Linked DNA regions of Mytilus edulis. The protein of the gene in region 2 purifies or fractionates together with the protein of the main gene of each other region. This does not show direct contact. Links are inferred from orthologs where the notes say so. Each region holds a gene or a part of one and is shown on either strand. Other genes may lie near its edges.

Evidence for each region. The genes of interacting proteins can lie anywhere in the genome.
Region 1: the proteins of actin nucleation-promoting factor WASL-like (region 2) and cdc42 homolog purify together in Drosophila melanogaster (affinity purification with western blotting; 3 studies listed by BioGRID). This does not show direct contact. The link is inferred for Mytilus edulis from reciprocal best matches to the Drosophila melanogaster genes WASp and Cdc42.

The regions. Positions count from the first base shown.
Region 1 is NC_092356.1:47,831,602-47,838,432, reverse strand, and holds the start of cdc42 homolog, read right to left. Parts: upstream 3,030-6,831; 5' UTR 2,816-3,029; coding exon 2,809-2,815; exon of another isoform or gene 2,718-2,808; intron 2,606-2,717; exon of another isoform or gene 2,464-2,605; intron 1-2,463. UniProt on the Drosophila melanogaster protein: Regulates mbt kinase activity and is also required to recruit mbt to adherens junctions. Together with mbt and Frl, regulates photoreceptor cell morphogenesis. Together with Frl, has a role in the neuronal development of mushroom bodies.
Region 2 is NC_092344.1:35,959,040-35,966,254, reverse strand, and holds the start of actin nucleation-promoting factor WASL-like, read left to right. Parts: upstream 1-4,215; 5' UTR 4,216-4,258; coding exon 4,259-4,354; intron 4,355-7,215.

The sequences.
Region 1 (6,831 bases), on a different chromosome or scaffold from region 2:
TAAATAACCAAAGCATACATGTACCTACTTTGACCTATAATCATGATAATTTGTAACTTTTACTACATGTATGCATTGTGTCAATGTGACTTGGATTGACAGTTGTCTCATTGGCACTCATTCCACATCTTCTTACTTACACTGTAGGTTTTTTTTTTAAATGAATGACAGTTAGTAAGTATTTTATATTTTGGTGTATGAATCTGAAAATGATTGAACCAAGACTTGTGTATGTTGACTAAAGTTATGACACATAACTTGGGTTCTCATGTATTATATGTACATTCAGTCATTGTAACTGAACTTTTAATTTTCCATTTTTAATCATTTGTCGTTGTTTTTCCCCACTTTACCTTTATCTGATCATCGACAGTATACAATGTATATGAATATCAAAAATCAAACATCCATTTTAAAATTAAGTAAATTCTATCCAATATCAAAATGTTGTTTTTTACACCTATCCACAGAACTTGGCACACAATCAGCAAAACTTCTAAAAAGTCACATTTGGCAACCTTTTGAGATCGTAATATGCTTATCTGTTATCATGCTCATACCACATTATTTATTTCGCTTTAAAAGGCTTAAAGCATCTTCAAAATTGATTAAAATAAGTTTTTTGTGTTTGTCCAACTAGCTGGTATATATAATTATATATAATTTCACCCTGGTTACATACATTTTGTACTTTTAAAATTAGTTTTTAATTTATAATTTTTGTTCTTGTGCATGTTTCACACTTTTTTTTGTTTAGCCTGATTAAATTTGTACAGCAAAATCAAGCTACAATTGTAACCAGCATATACTTAATTTGGAGGACAGTGAGCAATGGTGAGTGAAGAAATGAAAACAAAATAATTAAAAATTAACTCATTGTTTCTCTCAACTGACACACTTTTTTTTCATATGACATATAAATGTACATGTAGTTGATGGGCAATTAAAGTGTCCCTTATATTTAAAACTTAGACAAATAAGGTTGACTACTTTTGATCTATAAACATGATAAATAAGACAGAAAAATAATTTATTTTCTGAATTTCCTTCCAGGGGACAATCTGATATTCACCATGTCTGAAATTCTCGCTGCCATATTTATTTTTTAAACCCTTGTTCTTTGTTTGCATCTCATGTTTTCTACTTGACTCGTCGTTCTTTTTGTCTTGCTTGCCTTATGTTTTATTAAGTATTTATCAATCTGAATCTACATTCAAAATCTAAAGAAATGACACATCGGGTGAATGATAGATAAAACGAATCCGGGTCAGTTCTCGCCTGATTTTTATTAGTTTTGTACATGTATGTACAAATGTAATAACTTTGTAATCAAGTTTTGGCAAGTGCATTCCTATAAGTACTGTATATAAGTTGTCATTGTCTCAAAATAAAGTGAGACAATGGTTTTTTTCCATGTTGAATAAATCTTAATCATGTTTTGGATAGTGAATTGTTGAAAAAAAAATTATTGTTTCTAAATAAAGTGAGATTCTATCAACTTTTGTGTTGAATGAATCTTAATCATGTTTTGGTTAGTAAAATGCTATAATTTATTGTTTTAAATTATTGTTGGAACTTTCAGATCAATGAGCCAAGCAGTTGAGTTAAAAACACTTATCTTTTGTGGTTTTCATTTAAAATCTTCAATGTTTTACTCATACCAAGCTAAATACATGCAGTATTTATATCACAGCAATTTAAAACAATTAACAATCATAATTTTCTAATTATTAAACTGGAATTTGATTTTAAATTTTGTGTGAACGTGTAGGGAGCCAACAGACCTTGGGTGCGAACGTGTAGGGTGGGAAAGTGTATTAGGCGTAAACGGACCTGATACCGGATATAAAACGTAATTGACTGTCCCTGGTCAATAGACAAAGCCAAAACAATGTTATATGCGACTCTGGTTCTCATACAAATGTACTTATTTTTATTCATTTTCGGAATCAACCTATTTCCGATGTTATTTAATAGCTATCATCATGAACATTGATGTTTTGACTAAAATATATATTTTTACTTGCTGATCATTGGTTTCTTTAACATAAATTAAACATCTTTATACCATTTGTATACGTTTTGACTATTTTTGTTGGATTTGAACTTTGTCTTGTACAAATGTATATTTTTTTACTTGTCGACGGGCAACCCAGACAAACATAATTACTTGTCCAGTTGTTCAAATGTAGGAGTCTGATAGTATTTTCACACCCCTGAACCCTGATGATTGATTTTTAAAATTTTTTTTTTATTGTTTACAAAACAAGATGTTCAGTTACGTTAAGTTTTAAGTGTACACAATTTAAAACAGCAAATAGGATGAACTTTAACAGGCTTTTTTTTTATTTATTATAGAGACACAGTACACTGTAATGCCTGTACAGAGATACATGATAAACAAGGCACTCCCAAGCCCCCTTTTTGGTTTGAAAAAGTCTGTGTTTTCATTCATTTATTTACCAAATAAAATGCACAGTTTACTTTGATAACTGTTCAAGGGAAAAACTTCTTTCAAATGAAACGTTATAAGTTAGAATTACGAGGATTAAAGAGGAGAACATTAACATTTACAGGCACCGGAAGCCATGCCGCCATTATTTTTGACAGACTCCGAGCAAGAATTCATTGGATAAAGAATCTCAGAGTTAAATGGGACAGATAAATCCCAAAAGAGTCCTTTGGATTGATGCCTCAAAAACTATCTAACTTCATACTTAGATCTTTTGTTGATAATCATTCAAATAATACCTACAATACTAATTTCCGGGGTGTTCAGTTAATCCAATTTTAACCGGAAAAACTTACAGCGCATGCGTCTATGACGTGATTTTCTTCTTAAAATAGCTCCAATAAATACACTAGTAACGTAGCACCTGTCAACATTCAAATGATCGGCAATACACAAATTCAGCTGATATATGTCCCAAGTTTAAATCCAAATATAACGACGAATCAAATTTCTGGCCTATTTTTATGGTTCTATTCTTGGATAAAACGAGAAAATAGAATAAGAGTTTTGATATAGACTATTTTTTTCAGTATAGATCGATCTATACAGTCAGTGATTAAACCGTTTTATTATCTTTTTAAGTCAATTGTTGAATGAATAGGTTAACTATATACATGATATATATTAAAGGATATGAAGGTGTTTTACAGAGATAAGAATTCTGTGCAAAAAAGTAAGCCTGGAAGGGAGGCCAAAAAGTATAGATAAAAGAAGGTAGAGGTGATGAAATATATACATAATCAAAATATTGATTGATTGTTGGTTGTCTAAAGTCCAGTGGCAAATATTTGATGCTTGTTTAGGACGAATATAAAAAAGATCAATTGACAGGAAAATAAAGTATAAAGTGAAATAGTTACGATGATGTGACCCCCCTAAAAAAAAACCCAACACAACAACAACAAAAAACAACAAAATAAACCCACCCACACTCGCATATATACATGTATACATCTCAAAAAATATATAAATTTTGGTTTTGGTGCCCCCCCCCCCAGGAATCGAGGTTCTGGATCCGCCCCTGTGTTCTGTGATTAATTATTAACTAATCAATCAGAAAATCATATGGACACAGTTATAGCGTATTTGTTTGTTTGTTAGTTAATTGTATAGACATATTTTTTTAAATATTCAGTGACCGGATAATTTTCCGCCGTATTTTTTGTCTACTCATGTGTATTTAATTATCAACGATGGCCTAAATAAAAATAATAAATCATACATTCTGTATAAATATTCGCTTATCTTTCGCCATATGACAAGGTCATGTATACATGCAGTTGAATGATGTCTTCTTTTTAAAAAAAATCAAATTTATATAATTAAACCCTTATGGGTGTACATGCAGATTGACATGCCCGAAATCTTCTGCATTTATTAGTGGAAATCGGGATTTCAACTAGCCCTCAGTAACTGCGAGTAGTCTTAGATTAGAACTCTGGGACTTTTTTTTGTAGTTGCTATAGTTATTCGATTTTCAATGAGTTAATGCTTTATCTGATTTTCAATGAGTTAATGCTTTATCTGATTTTCGATGAGTCAAAGCCTATTCAACCTATGTTTAGTTGTTTCTAATGTTCTGCTGTTAACCACTGTCAAATGTTTAGTAGGGTCCTAAGTTTCGGATGGGCCTAAGTTTCGGAGGGATTCGGACTCTCATATACATATTAATGTGTCTATGATTGAGATATAATTGGCATCAATAAGACAGCAACCACATAACACGGATAAAACAAAAGAGACTATTGAAGGTTGTCATTACGTTTTCAATAATGAACGGGCACAAACCCTAAAATTATACCATGCAAACTCAGAATCGCTTTGAATCTTTACAAGTTACGTTAGCTAGTCAAAAGGTAGTTTGACCGTTCATCAGGTTCAAATGGTTGCAAGACTTTTGTTTCCGAGCACAGCTGCTAATCAAGGAGCATATATATAGATACTATGAGAATGAATACTAAAAGGAAACCCTTCGGTCATTCATAACCACTAGATCATTCGTGGTATGCATTGTAGTGTGTAGGAAGCTGCCAGGTGAGCGACCAAATCTTTGGGGTCGTTTTAGGTATAATTAGACTGCTCGGATGAAAAAATATGATTTAATCTTGCCCGAAATGCATATTAGTATAGTAATAGTATGCAGATCAAAGGTTACAAGCGTAAACAATTATGCATGCTTCACAGCGCTAGCAGTTCAGTTTCGTAATACAGCTTTTTTTTTTTTTTTATTATTTTTTATTTTTTTTATCAAATTTGGAAATATCAAAACTATCCAATGTTGTTAGGCTACGTACGCTCCTCTAAGGTTAGGGTGGAGAGTATCGTAGTTAAAACTAACAGCGGATCTGATTTTCATTGCATCAAACACTCAATCTATTACAATGGCGGATCCAGGGGGTGGGGTCGGAACCCCCCTTTTTTTTGGACGCTCAATGCATCAATCTCCCATACAGACAGAGTTATCGTCCTTTCCTCCTCCTCCTGTCTGTATGGGAGATTGTCAATGCATTTGAATGTAGTTGCCCCCCTTGTCTTTGGTTACTGGGGAACCCCCTTTTTAAAATGGCTGGACCCGCCCCTGTATTACATAATGTTGTCTGCTTAAAGGGATAATTCGCGAATTTTTACTTATCAGCTAATTATGTCCATAATACAATAAAAAACATATTCACCAAGTTTTATCTGGATATGAACAGCAATAAAGGAGAAAATTAAGAATTATTAATTTTATTTCTTCGAACTTCCTGACTTATGTGACGTAGTTTATGTCTTTAAGCATGCCGGGAGTGGAAATAATCTCATTTTAAATCTTAATCGTTAATCATCTTATAACGCTATTTAAAGCGCATAGACGACGTTTGGTGTGGCTATTAACCAACTAATAATTAAGATGGAACAGCGCTCATTTTGAAAGTAGAATGTACGATTTATATTTTAATATTTTCTGAAATGTTTATAGTGATACAAGTAAATCATATATATAAAATATTTTTTTATGATTTTTTTTTCCGACGGATATTTTGAACTTACATGTATAACTGGTAGTGTTTTAAAAATGCATGTTTGTACTTTTTACCTTTTACGTCAGGCTAGTAAATATGTGCTGCTAGTACATTTGTAGTGTGCAAATACGGCCCCGCAAATACAATGTGTATTGTACTTTGACACATAGTGACTACCTGTTGAATGCGTGGTTAAATTCAAGTTAATTAAAAGATTAGCATTTTGTATCTTTTGATCTTTACTCAGTGAATTTAAGCCGTCACGGTTCACTTTTCTAGGTGTGAACATTTCGTATGAATGATAAACGGGGGAATCTTAATATTTTCCATGAGCTCAGTTTAATTAAATATATTATTGACGCTGAATATTTTTTGTTAAAAACAAGGAATACTGAATTAATTTAATTGAATAAATTTATGAATAATGATGTAAAAATTCTAAATAAGAATCGGTGACCTTGAATTTTTGAAATAGATAGTATAATTACCAATTGCAGTTATATAAGGCGATCTTCTTTTTTTTTTTTTTTTTAATATTCAGGAAGTAATGTCCTTTCACCACGTACTAATTCTTCAGCTATTTGAACGAAAATATCAAAAATGTTGACAGAAAATTTAAAGGTCAACTTTGTCTTACTGAAAGGGAGGGAGAGCTCCAGACGTACTTACTAACAGACAAAGCAGGCTTGTGGCTTATCGTCAGTTTGTGTGCTGGGTCAGGAAAGGTCAACCACTTGGCAAGAAACATAGAATAATCATACCGGCTTGTGTAGTAAACATAATTAGAAAAGAGTTTCCATCGTTGGATGGGGTATACGAATGATTCAAAGAATGTGAAAGTGACACTTCAGATTGAATAGTTCTAAAATCATTTAAACGATTTACCAATACATTTTTTATTGGTTATTGGTTATTTTTTGCTATGACGTTGTCAGTGTGTTTTTTAATACTGAAATTGACTATCCGTTTTGGTACCTTCTGCCTTTTTACAAACAAGACCATGAAACTGAATATTGGAAATGTATCATGCTACTTCAAAAGAAAAAGCACTAATGGATTGTCCTAGAAGCATATTTTATGAGAATAATAATGGTCTATAAGCAGTTACATTTATTTCATGTTTGAAGCGGTGTATTTTTTTAAAATTTAATTTGACTTTTACCAAGAAATGCATTGTAGCAAAGGGGAAGAGTAATTGTGGTCTAGTGTCAGATACTCGAAAATAATGAAATTTAACATAAAAGGAAACAAATAACGGACTTTGGCAAAAATGGAGAGGGCTTTTGATACCTTTTCTCCAGACATAAAATCTTTTAC
Region 2 (7,215 bases):
TTTTCAGATACTAGTGAAGAAATAAAGAAACAAGAGTAGACACCATTTGACCAACTGTGCTTACAATACTTGTGCAATAGTTGTAATTGATGTCCATACTACATTGTAGTGTCATACATGTATGATAATACATTACAGCATCCATAGAATTATCATCTTGGTCGTCAATGCCTCTCATTTCTTAATAAATTGCATTTGTTATTTTGGTTGTATGATTTTCTAAACAGACTTTTTTGTTATTAATGGAGTAGAATGTTGAAAAAACAAATGACAAAGATCATTGCTGAATGAAGTACAAGTATTTTTTTAAAGTTTAAATAGACAATTGGTATGGTGTTTGAGTGATTTTAAATAGATATTTCTTATTTGTTTCCAGTACATTAATAACCACTTTATCACACAATCAGTGGCAGATCCAGAAATTTTCATAAGTTGGGGCCCACTGACTGCCTAAGAGGGGGTCCGGCCCACTCCAGTCATGCTTCAGTGATTTCCTATATAATCAACCAAATTTCTTTCCAAAAAAGGGGAAGCCAGGGGCCCCTGGCCCCCTCTAAATCCGCCTCTGACAATACCATGAAAATAAATTAGCTGTAGCTATTTGTTGTATTTCGTTTTACATTGTTTATTTCTGACATAAAACCCGCTTAAAAAAATACAATTTGAAACTAGAAACACTTATCCTAAAAATTGCATTTTAATATTAAAACCAAAGAGAATGAAGAAAGAACACTATCGAGTGTACCTTAATATGATTCTGAAAAGTAATCATTACATTGAATGCTTATAATTACAATGAGATATGGTATGATTGCCACTGAGATTTATATCCACCAGAGTTCAAATATTGTGCATTCAATTTGTAGGTCACCTTTCAACCTTCAACAATGAGCAAAATCCATAGCCTATAGTAAGCTTTAAAATGCTCTAACATGGCAAAAAACATTGTTAATCTAACTGATATTTCTAAATTACTGAAAATCAATTGTTATGATGGAGAAAATAAGTGGCATTACAGTTTATCATGTTTATGTCATGGACACAAAGACCATCTAGGAGTTTTGCAAATGCCTACTTTGGACAGTCAAACGACAAGTAGGAATAAAAAAATCTACTTTAATGTTGAATATATTAAATTGATAATAGATATGGGGAATGTGTCAAAGAGACAATTAAGTAGAAGAAAACAGCCAAAGGACACCAATGCTTCTTATCACAGAAAAGAAAATCCAGCTCCCTCAGGCAGGCTTTAGCTGAACTCTAAAACAAAATGTGTACTAGTTCAGTGAAAATAGATGTCATACAAAACTTCAAAACATAAATGAACTAAGATTGAAAGTCCTACAAGGCTATTTAACATGCATAAAAATAAAAAGATGAGTATAAAAAAGATGTGATATAATTTCCAATGAAAAACTATAGGTTACTGTACAGCCTTCAACAATGAGCAAAACCCATACAACGTAATACAAATATACAGTTGTATAAAGATGAAGGAAAAACAAACGACAACCACTGAATTAGAGGCTGTTGCCTTGGGACAGGCACATATATACATACATACAGAATGTGGTTGGGTTAAACATGTTAGCGGTATCCCAACCCGCCCCCCATACCTAGGACAGTGGTGTAACAGTACAACATAAGAACGAACTATAAAAAAATCAGTTGAAAAAGGCTAGTCATCAGATGGATACAATTAGAAATACTACATAGAGTGGACGTGGCCGGGTACTTGTATATCCCAACAACAAAGGTACATTTGAGTATGATTGCCAATGAGACAACTCAATCAAAGTTCAAATCAAGTGGATGTTATCAATTATAGGCAACTGTACAGTCTTCAACAATGAGTAAAACCCATATATAGTCTGCTGTTAAAGGCCCAGACATAAATTATATGAACAATTCAAATGAGAAACTGACGGCCTAATTTATTACAAAACAAAAAATATCGAAAATTAAAAATTACATGCATGAACCAACAACAACCACTGAACTAAAGCTTAAGGCATAACACTGTACAAGGGTTAAATAATACTATTAATTTGAAAGCATGCCTTTTATGGCTTTATTTGTAAATACCCAGCTATCTATCTAATTGCCAACTGCAGAAATTGTAATATTTCATAAAAGGCTATCAGGAACTATGATACTGAAAATATATGGTTTTTGGTAGGGTTTGTGTTGCTTTCTTTAGTTTTTGTTGTTGCGTTGTGTCCTTCTTTATGACTATAAATACTAGGAAAAAGAAATAACCTAGTAAACTGAATTAGTAAGTCTATCAAGCCTCTAATCCTTGTTGTTAGGGTATATTAAGAAAATAAAATTGCAATGAATAACAATACAGTAGAAAGTAGGTCAACAAACACTATCTCGATGTGGCTATATATGTATGTAGATTTATGTTAAATTGAAGGGCATGTAAATAAAAATAATCAGATTTTCCTGTTCTTTTAGTTAAAACCATTCACAGCCAAAAATATCTGGTGAAATTCTGTTGATTGATGTGCAACTCAGTATATTATATAAAGGCATACGACTACAATTCACACATATGCACAGTACATAAAATCATGAGTTACTTAATCCTGCAAAAATCCATAGAAGAATATTGACAGCAATCGATCAATGCAATACTGCTTTGCTCTACAAAATAAAACAAATTTATTATACATTAAATATTGAATCACCTGAGTAAAAAATTGTCTATAATAATAGTCTGAGGTCTTACTCAATAAAATAAGACCTTGTACAGCTGTTGCATACTTGCAGTGTTTTATTCATATTATAAACCATTACCAGGGTAACAAAGAAATACAATATTAAAGACTTTAAATCAAAGAGGACTGACAGAAGACCAAATAAGGTACACAAGCTCCATACAAATTTAAAAAAGAATGTTTAGAGAGGGAAGGCATCACAGAAAAAAACATGCCTAGTCCTATAATTTTTGCATCTACATGTAAGCAAAAATATAAAATAGTCTTTCAAAGTGTCAAAATTATTTGGACTCTTGGACATGTTTTGAACTTACGATACCAGATAGATGTAAATAGTTCTTTCAATGCCAATGTGAAACATTTCTTCAAATAATATAAATATATGCTCATTTGACATAAATTTTGTACTAAAAAGTGGCTTTTATAAAAAAACAAAAACAAAATTAATCACTTCAAATGTATTACTCATATAAGGGAGCTACCATTTGATTTTTATGGGGGGGCTAGGATGAAATTTGAAAAAAATAGGCAGGACAGGAGTTTTGAGTAAAAAAAATAGGCAGGATGAGACATTTGCAAAAAAAAAAAAGTCAGGACGGCAATTTAGGTAAAAAAAAGTCAGGATAAACTAAAAAAAAAAAGACAGGACCGAACAGAGTGAAAAATAAAAAGGCAGGACAGATATTACAGCTAAAAAAAATTCAGGACAAAATTTTTCATCCTAGCCCCCCCCCCCCTTCCCATAAAAATCAAATGGTAGCTCCCTAAGGGATAGTCATGCAATTGAGGGGTTGTTCCTAACCTGTTGGAGGCAATGTCTTTTTAATACAATTATTAAATTAAAATTATTTTGAAACTCAGATCACAGGGGTTTGTTTCAAACCCTGTGCTCAGATGATCTCAGATGTTCAACTGTTCAATAAATTTATGTTGCGCGACTTTACTGTTTTTGCTTTTAAACCTATCAACTATAACCTACAATTCACCTACTGCCTTTTGACAACATATTAATTACACCATGACCCTTTAACACGTATATGCTAGCTGCATGTTGATGTTCTGTGGTTGAAGTCGATAAAAAAACAAGCACTCATGGAGGCTGCCATTTTGGATGTTGTGGGTCAAACTATCATTTTGGATACTATCGTTACTTTTCATAGGGTCGACGAATAATCCAAAATGTTCCGAGTCTCTGACAGAAATCTGTCATAAGAATTTTTACCATTGCGAAAACCCAGACGTTTGATTACAAATTCAAGCGTCTGGGTAATCGAGACTATTTGTTGTCGTGTGTCTGTGTCATTCGGAAATGACAATGGTTCCGAATGGAACTCCCGCGCTTAAATTCTTAAAAATTAGTTATAAACTAAAGAAAGTTGTTACATTTTTTCATTATTACATAAACACAAATATATTTTATATTCTTAATTTCACTATGATTCAAATATATCCATAGATTTGATAAATTTGTTTTTGTATAGAGGCTATCTATTTCAGTTACTCACAACCCGGAAGTTTCAAAGAAAATTTACAAAATGTCTATGAAGAAAAAAAACACGAATGTGTCATCTATTCTGTTAAATGACAATGAAAACGAAGCACTTTTCAACATCCTCGGTAGAGGTTGTGTGGTAAGAATAAGCAAACATTGAATTACAGGAGATACTCCCTTTTGCTTTAATTCTAAATCTAACCGTTTCTATGTAACATTATGTCAATTTATGATCACCTGTTTATTTATAGTACATCATCATACTAGCTTTAACATTTTTATTTGCCGTATAACATGGGTAAAGTTTAATTGGTTTCCGTTGTTTTACTGTAAACTAATGACAACTTTGCTTCAACAGCAAACAGATTGACCATGTTGAATTGCAAAAAGGGGAACAACTCTTTATTACTAAGTGAATATTTTGAACTCAGAGATAGTGCATGTACTTCATTTGCCACAGCTGCTTAACCCAGATTAGCCCGTTTGGTGCTTCCTTTATAGACACAGTCGCTTCATTTGCTGTAAAATCAGCTGGCGCACATATTCATACACTTCTCTCAGCAGTTTTAACACACCAGTAAGAAAGATGTGGTGTAGTGGTTAGTGCATCGGACTACTAACACAAAGGTTCCTGGTTCGATTTCAGTTTCGGGATGAAAATTTCAGGGACTGAATTTTCAGCTCTCTCTTGACATCATTTGAGAGTATGGTCTTGAGGAAACGATGATAGTCTGTAGGAAGGGGACGATAAATGGCTGACCCATGTTAAGAGAGAGCCATACATGTATCTCTTGCACGTTAAAGACATCGTTGTAGATTTCGAAAAAGAGCAGGCTAATGCCGCTACAAGGCAGCCCTTGCACCCGCTAAGTGGAAAGGGATTAATATAAGTTGTAAAACTTGTTTTCCAATCCACTATAAATATGTTTAACCTAACACACCAGCAAGCAATCAGCCTGTCATAAAAGTACATGTATGATGGGAAGCGTAATTTAGGATAAATTGTCGGAATTTGAAAGGTGAAGATTGAAACAATTTCATTATATGATATACTGCAATGGTTAAATGTGACGATAATAAATTGTAAAGCTACAAATGTACATTTTATTTTCAAATTTTTCAAAATCATCTCAGAGAAATGTTTTTATGATGAATAAGGCCTCGAAAAAAGATTGCATATAAAAAATACATATTTATTATCAACATATTCATTTTTTATATTCTCCAACTTGGAAACCAAAAAGTATAAATTTGAACTTCTGTCGCCATCTTTAAATCAGCCTGTTCAACTCCGTTTACTTCTCAGCCATTTGACCCAGTCACATGATAAGGCTAACTGGGCATATCCCCGAACTAGAACAAATGAAGCAGTCACAGATAGTACAATCTGTGAATATCCCCGAACTAGAACAAATGAAGCAGTCACAGATAGTACAATCTGTGAATATCCCCGAACTAGAACAAATGAAGCAGTCACAGATAGTACAAACTGTGGATAATATGTGGAGCTCCTGATATTCATTTCAGTAGGCATAGGTTTTAAAAGAAAAAAAAGGTAAAGTTCAGAAATGTCAACAAAAAAAATTATTGAGAAAAATCCCATATTTTTCCTTAACATTTTTGGCTACTTTTAAGCAAGCTACATTTGCATGGGATTAGCCTGTGTGCAGCTGAATCCAGGTTCGTTCGCCCTAAAACAAGTTCCACTTCTTTCACTTTTGCACTCTACACATTTGCACCCTTTTAATCGGTTTTGTGTTTAATAATTTGTAATTGAGTTTTGGTTTATATTGTATTGTTATAAAAAATATAATGTTACACAACACATTGATTTTCTGAAAACATTTTTTGTGTGGAATAAATCTTAAATCGTGTTTTGGTTTGAGAGTTTCTATATGTATATATATTTTTTTCCATTCAATGTTCAAAATAAAGTGACATTTTGACAACGGTTTTTTAGGATGAATAAATCTTGATCATGTTTTGGTTAGTGTATTATTGCTATACATATTTTTTTCATTGTTTCTTAATAAAGTGCCTTTTTCATGTTTCTTTTTCATGTCATGCATGAAGTCTTTTTAAAAAATAAATTTGTTGAAAAAATTTTAAATACACTTTTTGGTGCGAATGGACCTATTGGGGGACCCTGTGAGGTGATGACATGTATGGTGTGAATGTGAATTGGGAACAAACTGGCCTGATACAGTTCCAGCTTGGATTTGCCAACCAGAAAAAGGGCATCTGATGAGACATGAAATGATAACATGAAAAGGACATTTAACGAGTTAAATTATATTTTATAATAATTATTCTGCTATTTAAAAAAGTATTTAGAGAACCTGAAAACATGCTCAAAACCCAAAATAACATTTTATGTGGTCAAATATAGTCATTTTCTATTTAAAACAAAGAAAGACAATAACAATGGGATACATGTCAATTTTACTTTAATTCAACTTCAGAAATATGATTTTAATGACATGTACATGTACATGAACATAAGTTCCTTGTCCATATTACAATACATAACGGAGGACTTTCAAAACTTTTATTTAGATAGGGTTATTTCCCTTTTTCTTAATTGCATCAGCCATATTGCAGTGTCTTTTTACATGTACCACAGAATACCACAGAACTACAAAAATAAACAAAAGCTGAAATTTCTAGATTTTAAAGTCAGTATTAAGCATTTTTTTAAAGTTTTGAAATATTGAAATTTCAAAAGTAAAATTTCATGTAAAAGTCGAAATTTCCACTGTAAATTAATAAAAAGTTCAATGAAAATCAATTTTCATATATCATGTATATGTCTCTGATAAAATTCTGAAGAACCACATCAAATTCCAGTAAAGAATTGTAAACATATGAAATATGTATGTTAAAACTAACATCCACCAACACTATTCTTTGAATGGTAAATATTGCAGTATGCTACATTTGTACCTACATGTAGCCCAAAATAGCCAGGTGCAACTCTCTTTCTTTTTATATTCTTAAATC